Rhinolophus ferrumequinum: one gene and its partner. The protein of the gene in region 1 purifies or fractionates together with the protein of each later gene. This does not show direct contact. Links are inferred from orthologs where the notes say so. Each region holds a gene or a part of one and is shown in the gene's direction. Other genes may lie near its edges.

Region 1 (10,129 bases):
GATCTAACCCAACCAATCAGGACTGGAAGGCCGGAAAGATGGCCACCACACCGACACCTGGCCTTCAAGTCCTGCCTGGGGAGGCCAGCCCCTGGGAAAGCGAACAAGAAAGGCCTAAGTCATCAGCCTCCTAGTGATTACTTCTGACGGCTATCAATACACCCACCATAAACACACACAAAGTATCCTGTTTTGATGATGCATAATTTTATGTGAGGGAATATATTTGCTATCTATTGCTGTATAACAAACTGTCCCCCAAATTTAACAACTGAAAACAATAAACATTTATTATCTCACACCATTTCTGTGGATCGCGAACTTGCGACTGGCTTCACTGGGCAGTTGTGGTTCTGAACACTGTAGTCAGGTCTCAGGCAGGGCTATCGTCATCGGGATACTTGACTAGGGCAGGAAGATCTGTTTGCAAGGTGGCTCACACATATGGCTGTTGGCAGGAGGCTTCAGTTCCTTGCTGGCTATTAATAGGAGACTGATTAACTCCCATGTGAACCTCTCCATAGGGCTTCTGGGGTGTCTTCAGAACATAGCTGGTTTCCCCCAGAGCAAGTGATCCTAGAGAGAGAGCAAGGAGGAAGGAAGCCACAATGCCTTTTAAAACCTAGTCTCAGACGTTACACCATCAATTCTACCACTTTTTAGTCATTAGAACTGAGTCACGAAGTTTAGCCCACACTCAAAGGGAAAGAGATTAGCTTTTATCCCTGGAAAGGAGTGGTTATCAAACAATTTTTGGATAGATTTTAACAGGAGATTTCCTAATTCAAATAGTTACAAGATCTCTATCAAGACAACTCTAAAGCTTTTTTTGAGAGACGTCCATCGGAGGATTAGTTAATGGTGGCTCCCAGGAGCCTCAATCAACAGGAAACTTCCAGTGAGCTAGGGAGATGGGTAGAGGTAAGAGAGGAAGGGTGGTACGGCTTTAGGACAGGTTATTAGAGAGCAGTCTAAAGTTTATCATCTCTGCGTTCTTGGGTTTGACATTCCAGGTCATTCCATCTTAAAACTTCACTATTCAGCCTGTCCAGGGGCCATCAGGCATGAAGACCATCATCTTTCCTCCCTTCCTTCCTTCCTACCTTCCTTTCTTCCTTCTTTCCTTCCTTCCTACCTTCATTCCTTCCTTCATTCCTTCCTTCCTGCTTTCCTTCCTTCCTACCTTCATTCCTTCCTTCATTCCTTCCTTCTTTCCTTCCTTCTTACTTTCCTTCCTCCCCTCACCCTTTCTCTTTATTTCCTCAGGTCACCCAAGAATGATTTAAACTAGGGAGTCTATTTAACAATTTATCCGGAGAATTACAACTGGTGTCTTACTAATATTACCCTAGTTTGTTTGTATACTCCTTACTGTGGGGAAATAAAACAGACACTGAATTTTATCTTTCGGAAGCTATTTTTGCAGGTGGATCCTTTCATTTCTGATAATCTACATGCTCAGTGTTAATAAAGAGCTCCATTTCATACAGACTCACATAAGCAGGAACACACTTTCGGTGAAGATCAAGGGGGACCCCTGATCTCCCCATGACTTGTACACTCACAGAAACTTGAGAGTGATGCACCAGCCAGTAAGGGGACCTGGGCAGGGTACCAACAGCATTCACTACACTGGTGATTCTTAATTTAGTCAAGTCACTTCAGATATGCTCTATAGAGCCCCACCCAAAGTGCCAACCAAGCATTATGCTAAGTGATCGGTAAATAACAGACATTATCACAGGCATGGATAAGATCAAACATCCTCAGCCTCCGGTTATGAACACAAACAGCATCAACTAAACAAAACTTTTACACTATAATCCTAATCAACTCTGGGCTTCAGAGTCATAACCAAAACATGACTGTGGTTAGCTGCAACCAAAAAGACAAGGAACGCTGGCCTAGATGGTATTCCTCGGATGCTTTTCATTCTTGTGTGTCTATGGAAAGAAATGTTGCCTATATGTATAACTCATTACCAAAGACTGTTGCAGGGTTTCTTTCCACATTTGAGAAAAGGGCTGAGGAATTGCTAGGAGCCTTTCAAATTTGATCGGTTTTCTCATTTGCAAAATGAGGATGAAGTGCCGCCATCTTGTGGTTATTTCATGCAATTTCCTTTCCTGAAACTCTGCCCAGTACTGGCGTTTAAACACAATCATACTCAGTTTAAAGATGGGGATATGTTCTGAGAAATGCGTCATTAAGCAATTTTAGGCAATTTGATCATTGTGCAAACATCAGAGAGTGCACTTACACAAACTAGATGGTATAGCCTACGCTATCTGGTATACCACATCATATCATATATAAGGTTTGTCCTTATGTGGCACATGACTGTAGCACATTCCGTTTCTATAGGTCTCCATTAGCGTTGCCCATTGCTCAGAGTAAAAATTCTGAGTTAATTTACACCAAAATAACACAGTGAGCCATAGACGGGGCTAAATAAAAGAGGAATAGATGCTACCGTGTCTGTATGATCCTTCCCAATAGGTGAATAGTCCTATCTACCGAGAAAGAAAAGGCCCCAGGTGCCACATGGCTTTAAAGTTTGAGTCTGGAACAGGCCTGGGAAACCCACAGCTCCCCCTCAGCTCTGCTGCACGTGCAGGTCATTTTCTCAGCTGGAACTTTTTGGGAAATCTGTCTTGTACATCACCTCCAAACTAATCTCTAATCAACCAATGCTTGATGGAAAATAAGACTCTCATCAGACCCAAGTCACTCATCCTGGCCTTCATTCAAGGCTTCCTATGTTCTGCGTCTTACATGTTAGATCCTTCATGTTCTTTGTCCAACTACTGACCAGGATGAACCTTACACCTCTAGCAGGTTATTTCTGGTTTTTGCTTCCACTCTCCTTCCTCCATCAATCTTAATGACCTACACACTCTTCCATAAATACCTACCGTTGTTTCCCTGAAAATAAGACCTAGCCAGACAATCAGCTATAATACATCTTTTAGAGCAAAAATTAATTTAAGACCCAGTCTTATAGTAAAATAAGTCTTATAGTAAAATAAGACTGGGTCTTTAATATAACACTAATATAATATAAATATAAAACTCAGTCTTGTATTAATTTTTGCTCCAAAAGATACATTAGAGCTGATTGTCCGGCTAGGTCTTATTTTTGGGGAAACAGGGTAAAACCCCTTCTGGCCCTGAAGTCTTCCTCAGGAGCCCAGGCTCCCCCCAAAGTGTCTTCCAGTCAGCCTCCCATACTACTACATTTCAGCACTTGGTTATGTTCCGTCTCCCTGGATTACAAAATCTCTGAAGTCAGAGGTCAAGAGTTAGTATTACCATTGTCTTTATTATTTCCCTAGATCTCCGCATTGCTTACTCCCTTGCTTAAGATCTCTGCTCAAATGTCACCTCTTCACTGAGGACCTCTGTGAAACAATGCAAGATTCCTTAACACTTATCAATACCTGATACATGACATATTTACTTGATTTTCCATCTCCCCACAGAATGTACTCTCCATGATGGCAGTGACTTGTTGGTTTACTACTGTATCCCTACACCTAGAAAGATAACTGGCATGCAATAGGTATTTAAATTGGTGAACTGAGTAAAACAGCTGGCCTGCCCAAATGTGAGTGGGCATCATCCAATACTTTGAGTGCCAGAACAGAACAAAAGGTGAAGAAGGGAGGGCAGATTGGTTCTATCTCTGCTTGAGCTGAGACATCCATCTTCGCCCCTTGGACATCAGCCCTCCTGGTTCTTATGCTTAGACTCAGATGCTCATTTATCTAAAATATGACTTGGTTAGCTTTCAGCTCAGTGACTCCTCCGGCTTTTTGTATTTAATCCACAGAAATGTGTTTCATTATGTATATATACATATATATATGTATATACATGTATATATGTGTGTGTACATGTTTCTACATGCACATACTATGTGTATATTTATATACATATGTGTATGTGTATGTTTACCCGAGACAAAACTTTTACAAATCAATACCCTTACTCTATGTGACGTACTATTATTTCCTATTCTCATTCATCCTGTGTTTTTTTTTAATGCTGGCCAAGAATGTCTAAATTAATTCTGCAATCCCCTAAAGGACTCTGACTTCTTTGAAAACTCCTACCTTAGTAGATACGCACTGGTAACTCCGGGAATATTTAGGATTAAGTATAGAAATAATGAAGTAAATCAAAGGCATAGCATTAATATTCTCCATCACATTTTGGAACCACCTATTTTTTTTTTTAATTCAAGTTTATTGGGGTAATTGTTAGTAAAGTTATGTAGATTTCAGGTGTACAATTCTGTATGACAGTATCTATAAATCCCATTGTGTGTTCACCACCCAGAGTCAGTTCTCCTTCCATCACCATATATTTGAGGAGCCAACTATTTAATTTGGTATTTATAATGTTTAAGAGAATTTAACATTACAGATTATTTTTGCAATTCCATTTTTAAATGTGAAATGAACTGATTCAGACTCATAATTGTAAGTGGATATATATATAACAGAATTTAACCATGTTTGCAAGCAATATTGAGATTATGAGATTTTAAGATTTACCAACATATTTTTAAGTTTAATATGTTGGGTTTTAAGAGTGAGCTCAGTACTCGGATTTTTGTCAAGTAACTGACTTGCTTAAAAAGAAAGAATATATTACATTTGTAAGTGTACTTTAGTTATAGGAATTTAAGTTATAAAAATCCCCTTAAAGATTGTTTTAAATTTACCAGCATACATACTACTTTAGGATAACCAGGTTTCAATATTAATTATTAAAGCAAAGGTAATTTCGAAAGTCGCCTGCGTTTCCAAAAGCCACCCTCGTGCACAAGGCAGCAGCTCCAGTTCACTCGGAGAGAACCGGGTGTTCAGATTTAAGGGCCCTTCAACAGGATGAGCAACACATGGTCCCGGCAAAGGAGCTGGGTTCTATTCAAGAGGAAGGAGAAACTGACCTAGAAGACGTGGAATCGTCTTTCTTTTCTATTTTATCGCCTGCCACCATCATTTTTAAAAAATAATACATAACATACAACTTAAAAACACAAAATCAGCCACGAGGAGTGACTGCGTCAGCGCACCCCAGGTCCCGCTTCCGTCCCCCAAGAGGAGGAAAAGGCGCGCGGCCATGGGGCTCTGGGAGGGTTGTCCCCAAGTGGCGGGAAGAAAGGGGTTTTGGGGGATGCGGGGAGCCGGGGGGGTCTGGAGCCTGAGGTCACCGGCGCCGCGGAAAGCGGGCTCGGCAAGTTTATCTGGGAACGGAGGCCGCGACTAGCGCGGGGCCTCCAGACCGATGTCACCTTAGCCTTGCGGCCCGGAATTTATATCATGAAAAAAATTAGGGCCTGCACTATCATCCAGAAAAGCGTTTTTCCAAACCGTCCAGTCTTGCGGCCTGCAGGGCCCGGCCCCGGCCCGCGCGTCCGCGGCAACTGCGTCAGTTCGCGCCGCTGCTGAGGCCGGAAAAGGCCACCCTGCCCGCGCTCGCGCCACCTCCACTGCCATCCAAGCTAAGGCGATACCATCCCGCGGACCCCTCCGAACAGCCGGAAAGGTATCGTCCCCAGCCTCTGATTGGCCGGCGGCGCGGGGGCGTGGCCTCCGGAGCCTGGTTCTGCGCGCCAGAGCCCACTCGCCGCATTGCGAGCCGGGCCAGGAGCGGGCGCCATGGTGAGGAGTGGTTGTGGGGTGCGGGAGAGGAGAAGGCCGCGGTTTGGGCCTGGGTTCGGACCAGAGCCAGGGCCGGAGCCTGCCCTGGGAGCGGGGCCAGATGAACGCGGGGACCGCGCTGACGCTGACGCTGGCGCCCTGACTCCCGTTCCAGGTGCTGCTGCACGTGCTGTTCGAGCACGCGGTTGGCTACGCGCTGCTGGCGCTGAAGGAGGTGGAGGAGATCAGCCTGCTGCTGCCGCAGGTGGGTGGAAGCGGTGGGCTTGCGGGCCACACGGTCCCCAGCATGCACTGCGCGCTCCCACGTGGCCGGCCGCTCGCGTTGTGGGTGCGCTGAGCCTGAAAGCTCCAGAGCAGGGGTTCCTTACCTGCATTCGAGACTAGAATCGCGTTAGGACCATTTAGAAGTAAGCGTCCGGCCCTCCACTCAGTATCCAAGAAGAAGAACCGGGATTTAGGGCCAAATAATCGATCGGTTCATTCTTCAAGTGTTCAGTTGGTTCTTATATACGTCCAGGGCTGAGAACCGTTGCTTTACTGCGCCCTAGAGGCGACAGCGCGGGAAGGAACCTCCCATCCTTTTTCTACCCCCAGGTGGAGGAGTGCGTGCTCAACTTAGGCAAGTTCCACAACCTCGTTCGTCTCGTGGCCTTTAGTCCCTTTGCCTCGTCCCAGATTGCCTTGGAAAATGCCAACGCTGTGTCTGAAGGTGAGTCGGCCACCTCCAAGTATTGCAGAGATTTAAGCAGAGATATAGTTCCTCCTACTGTATAGTTCTTCTCCTAGGGAGTTGATGATAGTATTTGCCTTTATTCGGCTAATTTATTCTAAATCTGATTATGTTTTGGATGGTATTTGATGTGTACAGGATGTGATTTAAAATAGTCTTTCAGAGCTCCTGGTCTGAATGTTATATTTAAAGCACACAATCCAGCATGCAGTCTTACCCTGTGAACTCTAGTGATAAATGATTCTCAAATGCAATGGCGGGGGGGGGGGGGGGGGGGGGGGGGTGGTACTGGTTCAGTGCTAAACCTTTACAAGTGGTTCTCTACTATTTGGTTTAATTGATTGGAAAGAGCATTTTTCATACATGAAAGCCAAGAAAAAGGTTTGGTCCCAGAAGGCAAATCTGGAGCTAAATACTTTAGTAGTTGATGGTGCTCAGGGGTGTGCTTTGAGCTTTCAGTTATGCGTTTCACCTTGTACTATTGGACCTGAGTCCTGTTCTTCCCGTGACCCATTCACGCTTTGCAGTGATGACTTGAGTCTGTCAATCCCCTGAGTGCAATCACTGATGTCTCCATGTCTCTGAGCAAAGCCTGAAGGGGAGGGGTCTAGGCATGCCTTCCCAGCATGCTCTGCTGGACCAATGTAAGAACAGTCTGTCACTTAATCAGCAGTTGAGGACACGGGATCCCTTTTATGGTTTAAGCATCCTTCAATCTGTTAGTGGGAGCTCTGTTTTTTGCCCTGAGGTGTTGTTCATGAGGACCTCCGCCTGCTCTTGGAGACTCACTTGCCATCCAAAAAGAAGAAAGTACTCTTGGGGGTTGGGGACCCCAAGATTGGTGCTGCTATACAAGAAGAGTTAGGGTACAACTGCCAGACTGGAGGCGTGATAGCCGAAATCCTTCGAGGTGAGACAATTATCTGTTAACATTCATGCCATTCTTGACATCTTTGAGGGGGTTCCGGAAACATATTAGGGAGCTTAAAGTTGCTTCTGGTAAGTCCTCCTGCTTGGCTGGTGCGCATGGGTGCAGGAGCTAGCTCAGAGCCCTTCGTTGCTCATAGTCTTGCCCTCCTCCAGGAGTTCGTCTGCACTTCCACAACCTGGTGAAGGGGCTGACCGATCTGTCTGCTTGTAAAGCCCAGCTGGGGCTGGGACACAGCTATTCTCGTGCCAAAGTTAAGTTTAATGTGAACCGGGTGGACAATATGATTATCCAGTCCATTAGCCTCCTGGACCAGCTAGATAAGGACATCAACACCTTCTCCATGCGTGTCAGGTAAAGTACGGGGCAACCCTTGAGAACGGGGCTGTGGCCTGTGGTTTAGCTAGTTTTGAATCGTGAGATGAGGACTGGCTCCTATGGGTAGAACTGTGGGGTGGGGCTGGGCCTCCCGGTGCTTACCACAGGCTGTGTTTTTACACTGACTGTACAGAAAGAGGAGGCAGAATAAACCCACCTCATATACACCTCAGCCCAGGCCCTTTACCTGGTCTGTATTGTGAATGGGGAGACATGGAGTTGAGGAGGTTTGGGATCTGACTTGTTCCCACTTCCTCCCGGCAAAGAGTAGTTGTGAAAACAACTGAGGCTGTGGCTTTATTTATTTGAGACATGGCAGCTGGGTGAGGGAGAGATTGGGCTCTTTGCAGGGAGTGGTATGGATATCACTTTCCCGAGCTGGTGAAGATCATCAGTGACAACGCTACCTACTGCCGCGTTGCTCAGTTCATTGGGAACCGAAAAGAGTTGAATGAAGAAAAGTTGGAGAAGCTGGAAGAGCTGACGATGGATGGGGCCAAAGCTAAAGCTATTCTGGATGCCTCGCGGTCCTCCATGGGTCAGTACCAAAGCCTGGCGGCCAAAGTAAGATACAGGGCTCTGAATATCTGGCTCCTGCATTCACATTTGGTGTCCTTCAGGCATGGACATATCAGCCATCGACTTGATAAACATCGAGAGCTTCTCCAGTCGTGTGGTGTCTTTGTCAGAGTACCGCCAGAGCCTGCACACTTACCTGCGATCCAAGATGAGCCAAGTAGCCCCCAGCCTGTCGGCCCTAATTGGGGAAGCGGTGCGTCGTGGAGAATGAAAAAACGGGATTGAGCAATGTTACCATGTATATCTGTACTGCTGTATTTCCTGACCTGCCATGTCTTCCACGGTTGCCCTTGAAGGGGGGTCAGGGGGAGGTGAAGCAGGATTGTGCAGTTGGCAGGTTGGCCATTCCAGCTTCTGTGACTGATTCCTTGAATCCTTCTCTAGGTAGGCGCACGTCTCATTGCTCATGCTGGCAGCCTCACCAACCTGGCCAAGTATCCAGCATCCACAGTGCAGATCCTTGGGGCTGAAAAGGCCCTGTTCAGGTACCAGTGAGGGCACCTGCCCACACTCAGGTGCCACTTCTGGTGCCCACTGCTTGTTTGGGGATCACAATGATGGCTGACCAGGGCTTCCTGACCTATGCAGGCCTCTGCTATGGGGGTGATGGCCAGTCCTGGTGTCTGAGTGATTCCCAGGGCCCAGCAAAGGGACCAAGTTTCCAGGTCAGCGACATTGGATGCCTTCCCTTTGCCTCTGGGAGCTGTGGGTTGGCAAGAGATGGGACAGAGACCCAGCCCAGCCTGAGGCTCACTCTGGAGACTGAGAGCAAAGGGGAGGGGAGGCGCTGCCTTGGCGAATAGGGTTGAAATTTCTGATCTTAAACTGTCCACTGAATATTCTTCTCCCAGGGCCCTGAAGACAAGGGGTAACACTCCAAAATACGGACTCATTTTCCATTCCACCTTCATTGGCCGAGCAGCTGCCAAGAACAAAGGCCGCATCTCCCGATACCTGGCAAACAAATGCAGTATTGCCTCACGAATTGATTGCTTTTCTGGTATGGGTGGAGGAGTTGGCATTTGTGAGAAAGGGGCTTGGAGGGAGGGGAGGCTGAATACCGTAGCTTCTACAATGATGGTAACATTTTTCGTCAACAGCAGTTCACCTAGTGAGTGTTGATATTTTGGGTCTGAGTGAAGCTGAGGGTAAAGGAAGTACTCGGGGTGGGGAGTAGTTTGTCTCTTTAGGAGCTGACAGGTTTTGTTTACCCACACACATAACATCCAGAGGTGCCCACAAGTGTCTTTGGGGAGAAGCTTCGAGAACAAGTTGAGGAACGGCTGTCCTTCTATGAGACTGGAGATATTCCACGAAAGAATCTGGAGGTCATGAAGGAGGCAATGGTTCAGGTCAGTTCAGGCTTTGCTAGGTTGGGGGAGAACCATAGCTGACTGTTGGAGGTGATGAACTATCTTAGCCTGACCTTGTAGGTGGAGGCAAAAAACTGATTTAATGAGCCTGATCCAAAAAAGCCAGGTGGGAGGTCTGGAGGGCCAGAGCTCTTCAGAGCCTTTTCAGCACTTTTCTTTGGCCAGGCTGAGGAAGCGGCTGCCGAGATTACTAGGAAGCTGGAGAAACAGGAGAAAAAACGCTTGAAGAAGGAAAAGAAACGGTTGGCTGCAATTGCCCTCGCATCTTCAGAAAATAGTAGTACGCCGGAGGAGTGTGAGGTCAGTAGGCAGATTGGCCCTATGTGAAGAGCCGGGTTGTATGGTTTTCAACAGCAGAACAAAGGATCTGTGGCCTCAGAGCCATGGTCTTTAGTCCAGAGTCAAGGCTGAAATAGCTAAAACTGCCTCTTGATTCTATAGGAAGGAGATAGGTGCTGAGAGCCCAGAG
Region 2 (10,497 bases), on another chromosome or scaffold:
GAAACACAAGGGAAAGGAAACAATGGAGATACAGAGCAACCAGAAAACAAAAGATAAAATGGCTGTAGGAAGTCCTCATACATAAATAATTACCCTAAATGTAAATGTAAATGGACTGAACGCACCACCTAAAAGGCACAGAGTAGGATTAAAAAATAAGACCCAACTATATATTACTTTTAGGAGGTACTAAGCTACTAAAACAAATATAGATTCAAAGTGAAGGGCAGCAGCCTACGGCATTAGGAGCACGGAGCTCCAACAGCCTGAGCCACCAGGCCCACCCTCAGGTATATAGTTTTATAAGACATCATCTATATATTGTATTGTGTGCTTACTACCCAAAGTCTAGTCCCCTTCTGTCACCATATGTTTGACCCCTTTACCCTCTTCATCTTCCCCCCCATTCCCACTCCCCTCTGGTAACCACCATACTGTTGTCTGTGTCTACGTTTTTTGTTTTATTTGTTTGTTTGTTTGTTGCTTTCTGTTTTATAAACCACATATGAATGAAATCACATGGTGCTTGTCCTTTTCGTCTGACTTATTTCACTTATGTAGCATAATACTCTGAAGATCCATCCATGTTGCTGCAAATGGCAACATTCCATCATTTTTTATGGCTGAGTAGTATTCCATTGTATATATATCCCACATTTTCTTTATCCAGTTGTTTGTCAAAGGACACTTAGGTTGTTTCCATGTCTTAGCTAATGTAAATAATGTTGCAGTGGACATAGGGGTACATATATCTTTACAAATAAATGTTTTCAAATTTTTCATGTAGATACTCAGAAGAGGGATTGCTGGGTCATATGGTAGCTTTATTCTTAATTTTTGGAAGCACCTCTATACTGTTTTCCATAATGGCTGTACCAATTTACATTCCCATCAGCAGTGTACGAGAGTTCTCTTTTCTCCACATTTGTTACTCCACACTCTCCAACACTTGTTATTTCTTGTCTTATTGGTAATAGCCATTCTAACAGACATGAGGTGGTATCTCATTGTAGTTTTGATTTGCATTTTCCTTATAGCTAGTGAAGTTGATCATCTTTTCATACATCTATTGGCCATCTGTATGTCTTCTTGGGAAAAGTGTCTGTTCAGGTCTTCTGCTAATTTTTAATTAAATTGTTTGGGGTTTTTGTTGTTGTTGTTGAATTGTATGATTTCTTTACATATTTTTGGATATTGGCCCCATATCAAGTTATCATTTGCAAACATCTTCTCCTATGCAGTTGGTTGCCTTTTTATTTTGTTCATGGTTTCTCTGCTGTGCAGAAGCTTTTTAGTTTGATGTAATCCCATTCATTTATTTTTGCTTTTATTTCACTTGCCTTTGGGGTCAAGTACATGAAAACCTCTCTCAGACCAAGGTCCATAAGTTTAGTGCCTTGTTTTCTTCTATGTATTTTATTATTTAAGGTCTTATGTTCAAATCTTTAATCCATTTCAAGTTAATTTTTGTGTATGGTGTCAGATAGCGGTCTAGATTCATTCTTTTGCATGTGGCTTTCCAGTTTCCCCAACACCATTTATTGAAGAGGCTTTCCTTTCTCCATTGTATGTTTTTGGCTCCTTTGTCGAAAATTAGTTGTCCATATATGTGTGGGTTTATTTCTGGGCTGTCAATTATGTTCCATTGGTCTGTGTCTATTTTTCTGCCCTTCAAATCTGCTGGTTCGATTCCCACATGGGCCAGTGGGCTCTCAACCACAAAGTTGCCAGTTCGACTCCTTGACTCCTGCAAGGGATGGTGGGCAGTGCCCCCTGCAACTAAGATTGAACACAGCACCTTGAGCTGAGTTGCCGCTGAGCTGCCACTAAGCTCCCAGATGGCTCAGTTGGTTGGAGCATGTCCTCTCAACCACAAGGTTGTCAGTTCGACTCCCACAAGGGATGGTGGGCTGCGCCCCCTGCAATTAACAGCAACTGGACCTGGAGGGCGTAGTTGCGCCCTCCAGAACTACAATTGAAAGGACAACAGCTTGACTTGGAAAAATCCTGGAAGTACACACTGTTCCCCAATAAGGTCTTGCTCCCCTTCCCCAATAAAATCTTAAAAAAAAAAAAAAAACTATGTAGCTGAAACTTGTATAATTGTAACAACCAATGTTACCCCCAATAAATTTAAATAAAGAAATAAATAAACCTAATACTAATGTCTATAGAGATGGTTTCCTGACCCTGATAGATCAGTGTATAGTCTGATTGAAAAGACATTTGAAGAAATGGAGCAACATATTGTTATTTGTTGTTATTTGTTTTCCTTTACCATACATCAGCATTTAAATGTTGGAAGAATAACAAAACCTGTGTGTGTGGATACTACACTACTGTAAGAGACAGAGAAAAATCGCAATAAAAATGACAGTGATTTATATGACAATATCAAAATATCTAGCAATAGTTTCTGTGAAAACAATAATTTATAATATATGACACCATACAGTTTGAATTTGACATGTAAAAATTATGGTTCATTTTCAAATCTAAGTATTGCTTAGACTGAATTTTATTTAGATATGAATTTTATTTAAAATCCAGTTTCTCTTGCTTCATCCCAGCAAAATTTCTCCTAATTGACAATACAAATTATTTAAGAACCACAATGACCCAAAAAAGGTTGTCTAATTTGGCATTACTATCTGTAGAACACAAATGATGTGATCTCTTGGTGACGACATCATAGAAATTTTGCTGAAATGAAGATACAAAGAGAAACTTTTATGGAATAAATATAATTTACGAATTGTGTGTTTTTCATCAGTAGCCTAGCAACAGAACACCCAGACATGCTTAATCTTAGTTATGGTTGTCCTGATATTCTGCTGACTCTTGGTCCCATTAAAAACTATAGCTTTACACATTTTTCTTTAAGAAACGAAGATTATTCTTCACTGAGGGCTAATTATTTTTTCCTAGATAAAAGTACAGGTTTAAAAAGTTTTAAATGTTTCTAATGGATTAATATCAACAAAGGGGACCCAATCATAAAGTTGTTTACTCTATTTGCTACCGTTCATGTAGATGTAAAACCAGAAACTAATGTAACGCAAAAACCAATTGCAAAGAAAAAGATATATTATGTGTGTGTGTATATGTGTATATATATATATAATTTTTTTTTTTAGGTTTTCTTTCCCCCCACCCCCAACTCCAGTTCAAACCGTTGTTCTCAGTCTGGTTGTGAAGGACGCAGCTCCCTGGCCCATGTTGGTATTATGAGCCTTGCTAGGCAGTCAGTGGACTGATGGTTGGCAGGTCACAGCAGCCCACCACAGCCCAGCTCCAGGTTGAGCCGTTGTGCACAATCTTAGCTGTAGAGGGTGCAGCTCACTGGCCCATCTAGGAATTGAACCGGCGACCTAGGCATTAGGAGCACAGTGCACCAATCACCTGAGCCACAGGGCCGCCCAAGAAAAAGATATTTTGAAATAACAAGATGCTTTTTGATTATAATTAAGAAAGTTGGTGGTTTCAATACAAAACCTGCTGATCAGAGTAGTAAGTAGGTACTTCAAAATCATATTGGTAACATCAGAGAAATCTTTTCATATATTGGTATTGTCATCACTACCAGAACTAAAAATTACTGAATTATTTTCTATTTATAACATATGTTTGACATATCTGATAACACTAAGTTGACTTTCATTTCAAATAATAAAAGATATATTTCACATTCCAATAGGACTCAATGTTTTATTTTCACTTTGAAATAATTTCAAAATCACAAATTGGTTTTAGAACAGTACAAAGAATTTCCATCTACCCTTCTCCCAGATTACTCATTGTTAACTTTTTAACACATTTGCCTTGTTTTCTTTCTTTTTATACACACATATGTAACTTTTATCTGAGTCACTTGTTGAGAGTAAGTTGCAGAAATAATACCCATTACTCCAAAATAGTTCAGAGGGTATTTCCTACAGAGCAGTCTCATACATAACCATAGTGTATCTATCAAAATAAAATTAACATTGATCTATTATTACCATCTAATCTACAGACTCCATTTAGATTTCACTGATTGTTCTGAGAACGTCATTTACACAAAAGAAATAAAAAGCCTTCTTTTTCTCTTTTTCCTTTCTTGTCCAGGATGCAATCTAAGATCATACATTGCGTACAGTTGTCATGTCACTTTGGTCTCTTTCAATCTGGAGTATTTTTTTAGCGTTTCTTTATCTATCATGATTTTGTCATAAATACAGACCAATTACTTTGTAGAATGTCCCTCAATTTGGGTTTGTTTGCAGTTTCATCATGTATCAGATTAGCTAGACTATGTAATTAGATTAGATTAGATAAATTTGGCACAAAGTGCTTCTGTGTTCTTCTCAGTATATCATCTCATGAGGAACACAAAGTTGACTTGTCCCAGTACTGGTGATTTTTAACTTTTACCACTTGAGCAAGATTAGTTGGTGGAAGGTGCTGGACAAATTCTCCCTGGCTCCTAGTGTCACCAACTACACTGGCTGTGTCAGCCATACTAGCCACAACCCTCCAGCTGCAACCAAGGGGAATAGATACATATATTTTTAATTTTGTTGTTATACATATTTGTAAGGTAAGAAGAAGCAGGTTAAGGAGAATAAAACATTTAATTCAACAATACGTTACTTGATTCATAACTTCTAAATATTCAGATGGATGGTATGTGGGTCTTCCTGCGAGTATGTACTCTTGCCCTAAAACATGCAAAGTTTAGGGGTGGGCCTATTTCCATACAGACTTTCCTTCCTGATGCTCCCACCTCCAATACAAGCAGTGCCTGACCAAGACATGTGGCACCTTTCATTGGCTAATAACTCGAACCACCAAAATGAAGGTCTTTAACTTAAGTATTTTCTGTAAAAACAAATTGTATGCCTTTACATTTCCAAAAGCCCCTCAACAAAGATTGAACCACACTTGCTTGTGAGAATTGTTTTAACATTTCTTTTTGCGGGCTCTGCGGACATTGGCCAGAGTGGATTCAAGCTACATTTTTCTGGCTATATAAGGATTTACAAATTGAAACCAGAATAAATTGGCAGCATAATTCTGATTTATTCTAGCAGCAGTTTTTTTTTTTGGAACCAGTTAGCCTTGTCATCTTGTTTGGCAGATCCTCCTCCCGGTTCTGACACACTGATTCTTTCCTGTTAAACTCATGCACACCCATTTTCCAAGAGCAGGCTTATCATTGGGGTGGGGGTACAGAGTTCAAGTTCATTCTGAGGATGCCAATGTTTTAAACTGCTGTGCTGTTACGTAATTTGCTTTTCCTAGTAGAATCAGTTAATTCCATTATTGGGCAAAATAGGATTTGTTTTCTACTTTCCCGAGACCTCTTGAATTAAAATTGAGGCCAAATTTAAAATGCAGATTCCCAGTCCGCAGAACAGCGAGTCTGATTCAGTAGAGGACGCTATTCATATATGTTCATTTTAACCAGTACCCAAATAATTCCCATGCAATAGCCCAAAGACCACCCTTGAAATACTGTTAGGTGAGGGAATACTTTCTCTTGAGGTGTTTGTTTGTTTGATTGATTGGTTCTCCTCCGTCTCCATGTGGAGAATAAGAAAATGACTTATTCCCCACTTACAATTAGTTTTAAAAGAATTTTTAAAAGGACTTAAACATGTTTAAAACAGTTAAGCTGACTAGATCAGAGCGATGGAAGGAGACAAACGGAATGAGGTGGTCAGGGATCGGGGAAGAAGATGGCGGTAACGAAGCAGGAAGGAGAGAGCAATAGTTCTCTTACCATTTAACAAATACCAAGCACTGACTGAATGTCAGCACCGTGCTATGTAGGTACTGGAGATTCAAAGGCGAACTTGACAGCAGGCCCACCTTCAGGGAGTTTACAATCTGGAGTGGGCCGAAGCAGGTACGAAGGTACTATGGGAAGGCAGAAAAGGGGCTTCTAACCCAGGCTTGGAGCACGAAGGCAAGGCTTCCTGGGTTGGACCCAATGTTCTGGACCAGGATGCGTAGTCCAGGAGGTGGAGTCCTGGAGGGGGCAAAAGAGCTCCAGAACGAATTCATTCTATTTAACTTTTAAGCTTTTTCCTGCTTACAAAAGTAATATACGTTATGAAAAAACTTCCTAACATAGGAAAGTGAAAGCCTCCTATATGTAATGCCCCCTGCTATTGCTCAAGGTCCACACCTGTCGGATCATTAAGGATTTGTTCCGGGCAAGGAGAAATGCGGCATGGGTCCTCCTATCAGCAGGGGGCGGCATGCCTGACGCCAGCCGGCCGGCGGATCTCTCTCACACGTCGCTCGCGTGATCGCCGGCGCTACATACCGCGCCTGCGCATAGGCTACGGTCTTTTCTCCCCCGGAGCCGAGCTGGGCCTGCAGGTCTCTGGTGAGCCGCGGACGCGGTGCTCTGTTCACCAGGATGGTGAGTGGGTATCCCGATCTCGAGGCTACAGATGGACGGGGGTTCCCTCTCTTTGTTCTAATGCCAGCCTAGGGTCGGTCTCGCATGGCGCAGGAGGCGGATGGCATTAGATTGCCGGCTCTGCCCTGGTCGGACTGCGGCTCCTAGCGTGGTCTTAATGGCTGCCGCCCGGCGCGCAAGCTTGAGAGGAAGGCGATTGAAGAAAAGCAGGAGTTGGGGCGGCGGGTTGAGGAGGAGGCTGAGTTTAGTAGACAGGCTGCGGGGATAGTGCCGGCCCGTTCGAGGGGGCCCGGGCAGGCGAGATTGCATTGGTCTCATGCTAGCTAGGGGATGCCTGAGTGGAGACGGGCTGCAGCTTCTCGGACCCAGCTCCATCCCTGGCTGCTCCGTGGGTCTTCCGGAAGAGCGTTGGGGTCGGCGGGGGTTTAAGAAAGGCTTGTGTTGTTGGTCTGAAGAAGTCTCTTTTAAGCCAAAACCGTCAGTAGAGCTTGGAGGCCGTGGCGTCTCTGGGCCCGGAAACGAAGCTCATTTAGTTTTTGGTATGCGCCTCCTGCCTCTTTATAGACTGTCGCTGGCATCGGTTTTAAATGATTCTTGGGGTGGGGTGTTGCTGCGTTGGTGGGGGACAGTGCTGTTTTAATCAGGAGTAATTGCTGAAAATGATTTTGGCCAGTTCAGGTTTGTGGCAAGTAATTTAGGTTTTTTAAAAACGTCCGTCCGTGGAAAGTTAGGGAAATAGGAGGTTAGTTTTTCGAAATGGGACAGTATTCAGAACAGATGGACGTTTGGCAAGATTTAGTGCTGTCTGGAGCAGGGCTTTGCAAAAGTTTGGCACAAGGATTGGTGTTGGTCTGTGAGCTACAGGAGTTGAGAGGAAGCATTCAAAAATTTTAAAACAATGACAATTTTGGAAAATATAAGACATTGGCCTGTGTTTCGTATGTTAGTTCATTTCCATTTTTCCCCAGTGATTCGTTTTTACTCTGTTACCAGCATTGACAGGAAAGTAAGAGAAAAAGTGATCCCTTGACTCCAGATGGTTTGAGAAACACTGGATTCTACAAAAGTGACAGCTGTCTATAGATTCACTTTTGAAGTTTAAATGTTATTTGTTACAGCTCAAATGTCAGAAGTATCATCAGCAAAAACATTTATCCAAGTTTCAATAAACATTCTTTTTTCTTAAAGGGATTTGTTAAAGTCGTCAAGAATAAGGCCTACTTCAAGAGATACCAAGTGAAATTTAGAAGACGCCGTGGTATGGTCAGGTTTTCATATTCACAGTATTAAAAGAATCTGCTTTGTAGTGGAGTAGACTTTTAAGTTATTTTCTCTTCTTTCAGAGGGTAAAACTGATTACTATGCCCGGAAACGCTTGGTAATCCAGGATAAAAATAAGTACAACACACCCAAATATAGGATGATTGTACGGGTAACCAACAGAGATATCATTTGCCAGGTAAGTTGCATTCTAGCCTCGAGCAGTGATGGTAAACCCCACCTCCCTTTAACTCACCTTGCTGGAGAAGTACTTGGGAAACAAAACATGTATGGATTAGAAGGTCCGTCAACTGTAGTGGCTGGCACTCAGAAACATCCATTGAGTAAGTGAGTAGCTCTTTTCCTTTTTGTGGGTCTTAAATTGGAGCCTGGGAAGTTGGTACTTTAAAAAAAACCTGAAGATCAGCTATATTTAGCAGTCTTGACCCAGTTTAATCCCATTCATTTTCTAATTGGGGGGGAAGAGGATTAGAGAAATTTATGGTACTGTGCTATTTTGTGGGTGTGGGTGGGGTGGAAGGATACGTTTGAGAGCAAGTAGAAGGTTCCTACCCATTCCAATTCTAGTAGAATAATAGAATTTGCCATTGACTAAGTCCTGACTTGCAGTATGGTCTTACATGCCACATACCCACTGCTCTTTGAAGAGGTTGGTAGTTTTGTGAAGATTAAATTAGACTCAGAATTGTTCTTATTCCTGCTTATTGTTGAAATGGGTTTTAATTATGTATGAGGGTCTCCCACATAAAAACCTTCAAAAAGTGGCAGTTTTCTCCTAGAACACAATTTGCTAGGCTTTTTTTTACAAGTAGGGAAAATTTTTATACTTGAGATTTGTTGGGCCTTTGCAAGAGGCAGGCGTACCATTTGTTGGTTGTGAAGGCATTGCCTTCTTCCATACCCAGAGTTCAGATAACTGAACACTGGGTGTCGGAAACATTGGACTTAGATATGCTTAATTTAAAAGATGTTTGAAATAATTGGGGATTCGTTTGACTTTTCAAAGTACCTCTTTAGTTCAGCAGCTACTCCAGCTAAGAGTCTTCAGTGTTTAGAAGTAAGGAGCTACAGTATAATTTATTCCAAAGGCATTTTAATATTCAATGTCTATGTGGTAATTTTAGCCTTACTCTGTCATCAAACATTTACAGACACAAAGTTACCTGCTATAGTTTACCAAGCCATAAACTAGTTGGAGGTGAGTGGGTTTAACAAAGACAAATTTTAATTGATACAGATCTATGTCTTTATTTTTTTTCCAAATCCTTTGTACAAGAAGGCACTTAGGACAAATAAACAGTGAAAGCAGATTACTAACCTGATGTTTCTCTTATTATAGATTGCTTATGCCCGTATAGAAGGAGATATGATAGTTTGTGCAGCTTATGCTCATGAACTCCCCAAGTACGGTGTGAAGGTTGGCCTGACAAATTATGCTGCAGCATATTGTACTGGCCTGCTGCTGGCCCGCAGGGTATGTACAGGATTATGGTAATTGATGTGTTTGGAATTAGCTTAGCTCATAGTTTGGTGTTACCTGCAAGATAGATGTTGACAGCTGGATAAGTTACCCTCCGCTGTAGAATCAAGCGAGTGCCTGTGGCACTCTTTAGGAATCACTAGGAAAGATGATTTTATAAATAGAAGGTTGTGGTTTTATACATACAAGGTTGTGATTGAGATGGCAGTGCATTTTCTAATTGGGGAAGCAGTTTTTCTGCTATCTGCTGGTTTGTTGGGTATATCTAGGCCAATAGAAGTTTCTGCAACTGGTGGATATCTGTAATCTATGCTAATATGGTAGCCAGTAGACATAGGTGGCTGTGAGCACTTGAAATATGTCTAGTGCTACTGGTGAACCGAATTTTTAAATTTGAATAGCCACTTGTGGCTAGTTAGTGGCTACCTTGTTGGACACCTTCTACTGAAGTGGCTACCTTCTATTGAAAAGTGTAGATCTCTTGATCTACAAGCAAACATTAAAATGCAGGTGCTACTCCAGATACTCAGAATCTCTATATTTTAATAGGGTGTCCAAGTGATTTATAGGCCAATTCCATTTTGAGAAGCAGTATCTTAAATTTTGGGGGAAGGGCAGGCATTGGTGGGGGTTTTTTGTTTTAATCATCTCTGCCCTCTGGGTGGCAGCATTTCCTGTCATGTAGAAAAGATGAAAATGTGCTTTTGCCTTACTCTTTTCTCAATTACTGACCTGGTTTTGCAGTGGGATTTTTAAGCATGCATCATTGTTGGGGACCCAGTTTGAGTGGGGGTGGGGAACAAGGTCATTATGTATGAGAGCAGCTTGGTACAAAGGCACTGCTTGTGAAACCATAGCTAGGTGATATTGTACTAGCAGAAGAATGGCCCGTGTTAATAGTATAGTTGGAGAATAGAGCCACAAAAGATCTCTTCAGCTCAGGATCCTACTCAGAACTGCATGTGATAATATTTAATATTTAGTTGTTGAATTCTAGCCAAATATGACTGAAAATATGTGGAGATCCCCAATTGTTGCATAAATCAAGTATGGACGTGTAGCAGATTAAAAAGCTATTAAAGTTGTTACAGTTGGTGAAATGGAATGAAATTTCTTTTTGTAGCATTTAAAAATTGGTATTTTAAAATAGATTGGGATAAAGGTATAAGTGAATTGGAAGGAAAGTGTTTTGTCAGGTCATTAAAGTTGTGACTTGTGATACTGTTGTTTGCATATATTCAGACAAGTATTTAGTCTGGCTTCTTTGTTAATAGCTTCTCAATAGGTTTGGCATGGACAAGATCTATGAAGGTCAAGTGGAGGT

The links. Proteins that work in one complex are often made in the same cells at the same time.
Region 2: the proteins of NOP56 (region 1) and RPL5 purify together in Homo sapiens (affinity purification with mass spectrometry; 3 studies listed by BioGRID and IntAct, with this or other methods). This does not show direct contact. The link is inferred for Rhinolophus ferrumequinum from reciprocal best matches to the Homo sapiens genes NOP56 and RPL5.

The regions. Positions count from the first base shown.
Region 1 is NC_046306.1:24,886,499-24,896,627, forward strand, and holds the start of NOP56 (nucleolar protein 56), read left to right. Parts: upstream 1-5,561; 5' UTR 5,562-5,669; coding exon 5,670-5,672; intron 5,673-5,826; coding exon 5,827-5,916; intron 5,917-6,266; coding exon 6,267-6,381; intron 6,382-6,923; exon of another isoform or gene 6,924-6,991; intron 6,992-7,150; coding exon 7,151-7,312; intron 7,313-7,485; coding exon 7,486-7,684; intron 7,685-7,793; exon of another isoform or gene 7,794-7,925; intron 7,926-8,058; coding exon 8,059-8,246; intron 8,247-8,328; coding exon 8,329-8,480; intron 8,481-8,671; coding exon 8,672-8,772; intron 8,773-8,834; exon of another isoform or gene 8,835-8,920; intron 8,921-9,138; coding exon 9,139-9,287; intron 9,288-9,356; exon of another isoform or gene 9,357-9,427; intron 9,428-9,517; coding exon 9,518-9,639; intron 9,640-9,685; exon of another isoform or gene 9,686-9,755; intron 9,756-9,825; coding exon 9,826-9,960; intron 9,961-10,129. UniProt on the Homo sapiens protein: Involved in the early to middle stages of 60S ribosomal subunit biogenesis. Required for the biogenesis of box C/D snoRNAs such U3, U8 and U14 snoRNAs. Part of the small subunit (SSU) processome, first precursor of the small eukaryotic ribosomal subunit.
Region 2 is NC_046292.1:70,127,090-70,137,586, forward strand, and holds the start of RPL5 (60S ribosomal protein L5), read left to right. Parts: upstream 1-6,292; 5' UTR 6,293-6,409; coding exon 6,410-6,412; intron 6,413-7,600; coding exon 7,601-7,670; intron 7,671-7,755; coding exon 7,756-7,871; intron 7,872-9,032; coding exon 9,033-9,167; intron 9,168-10,447; coding exon 10,448-10,497.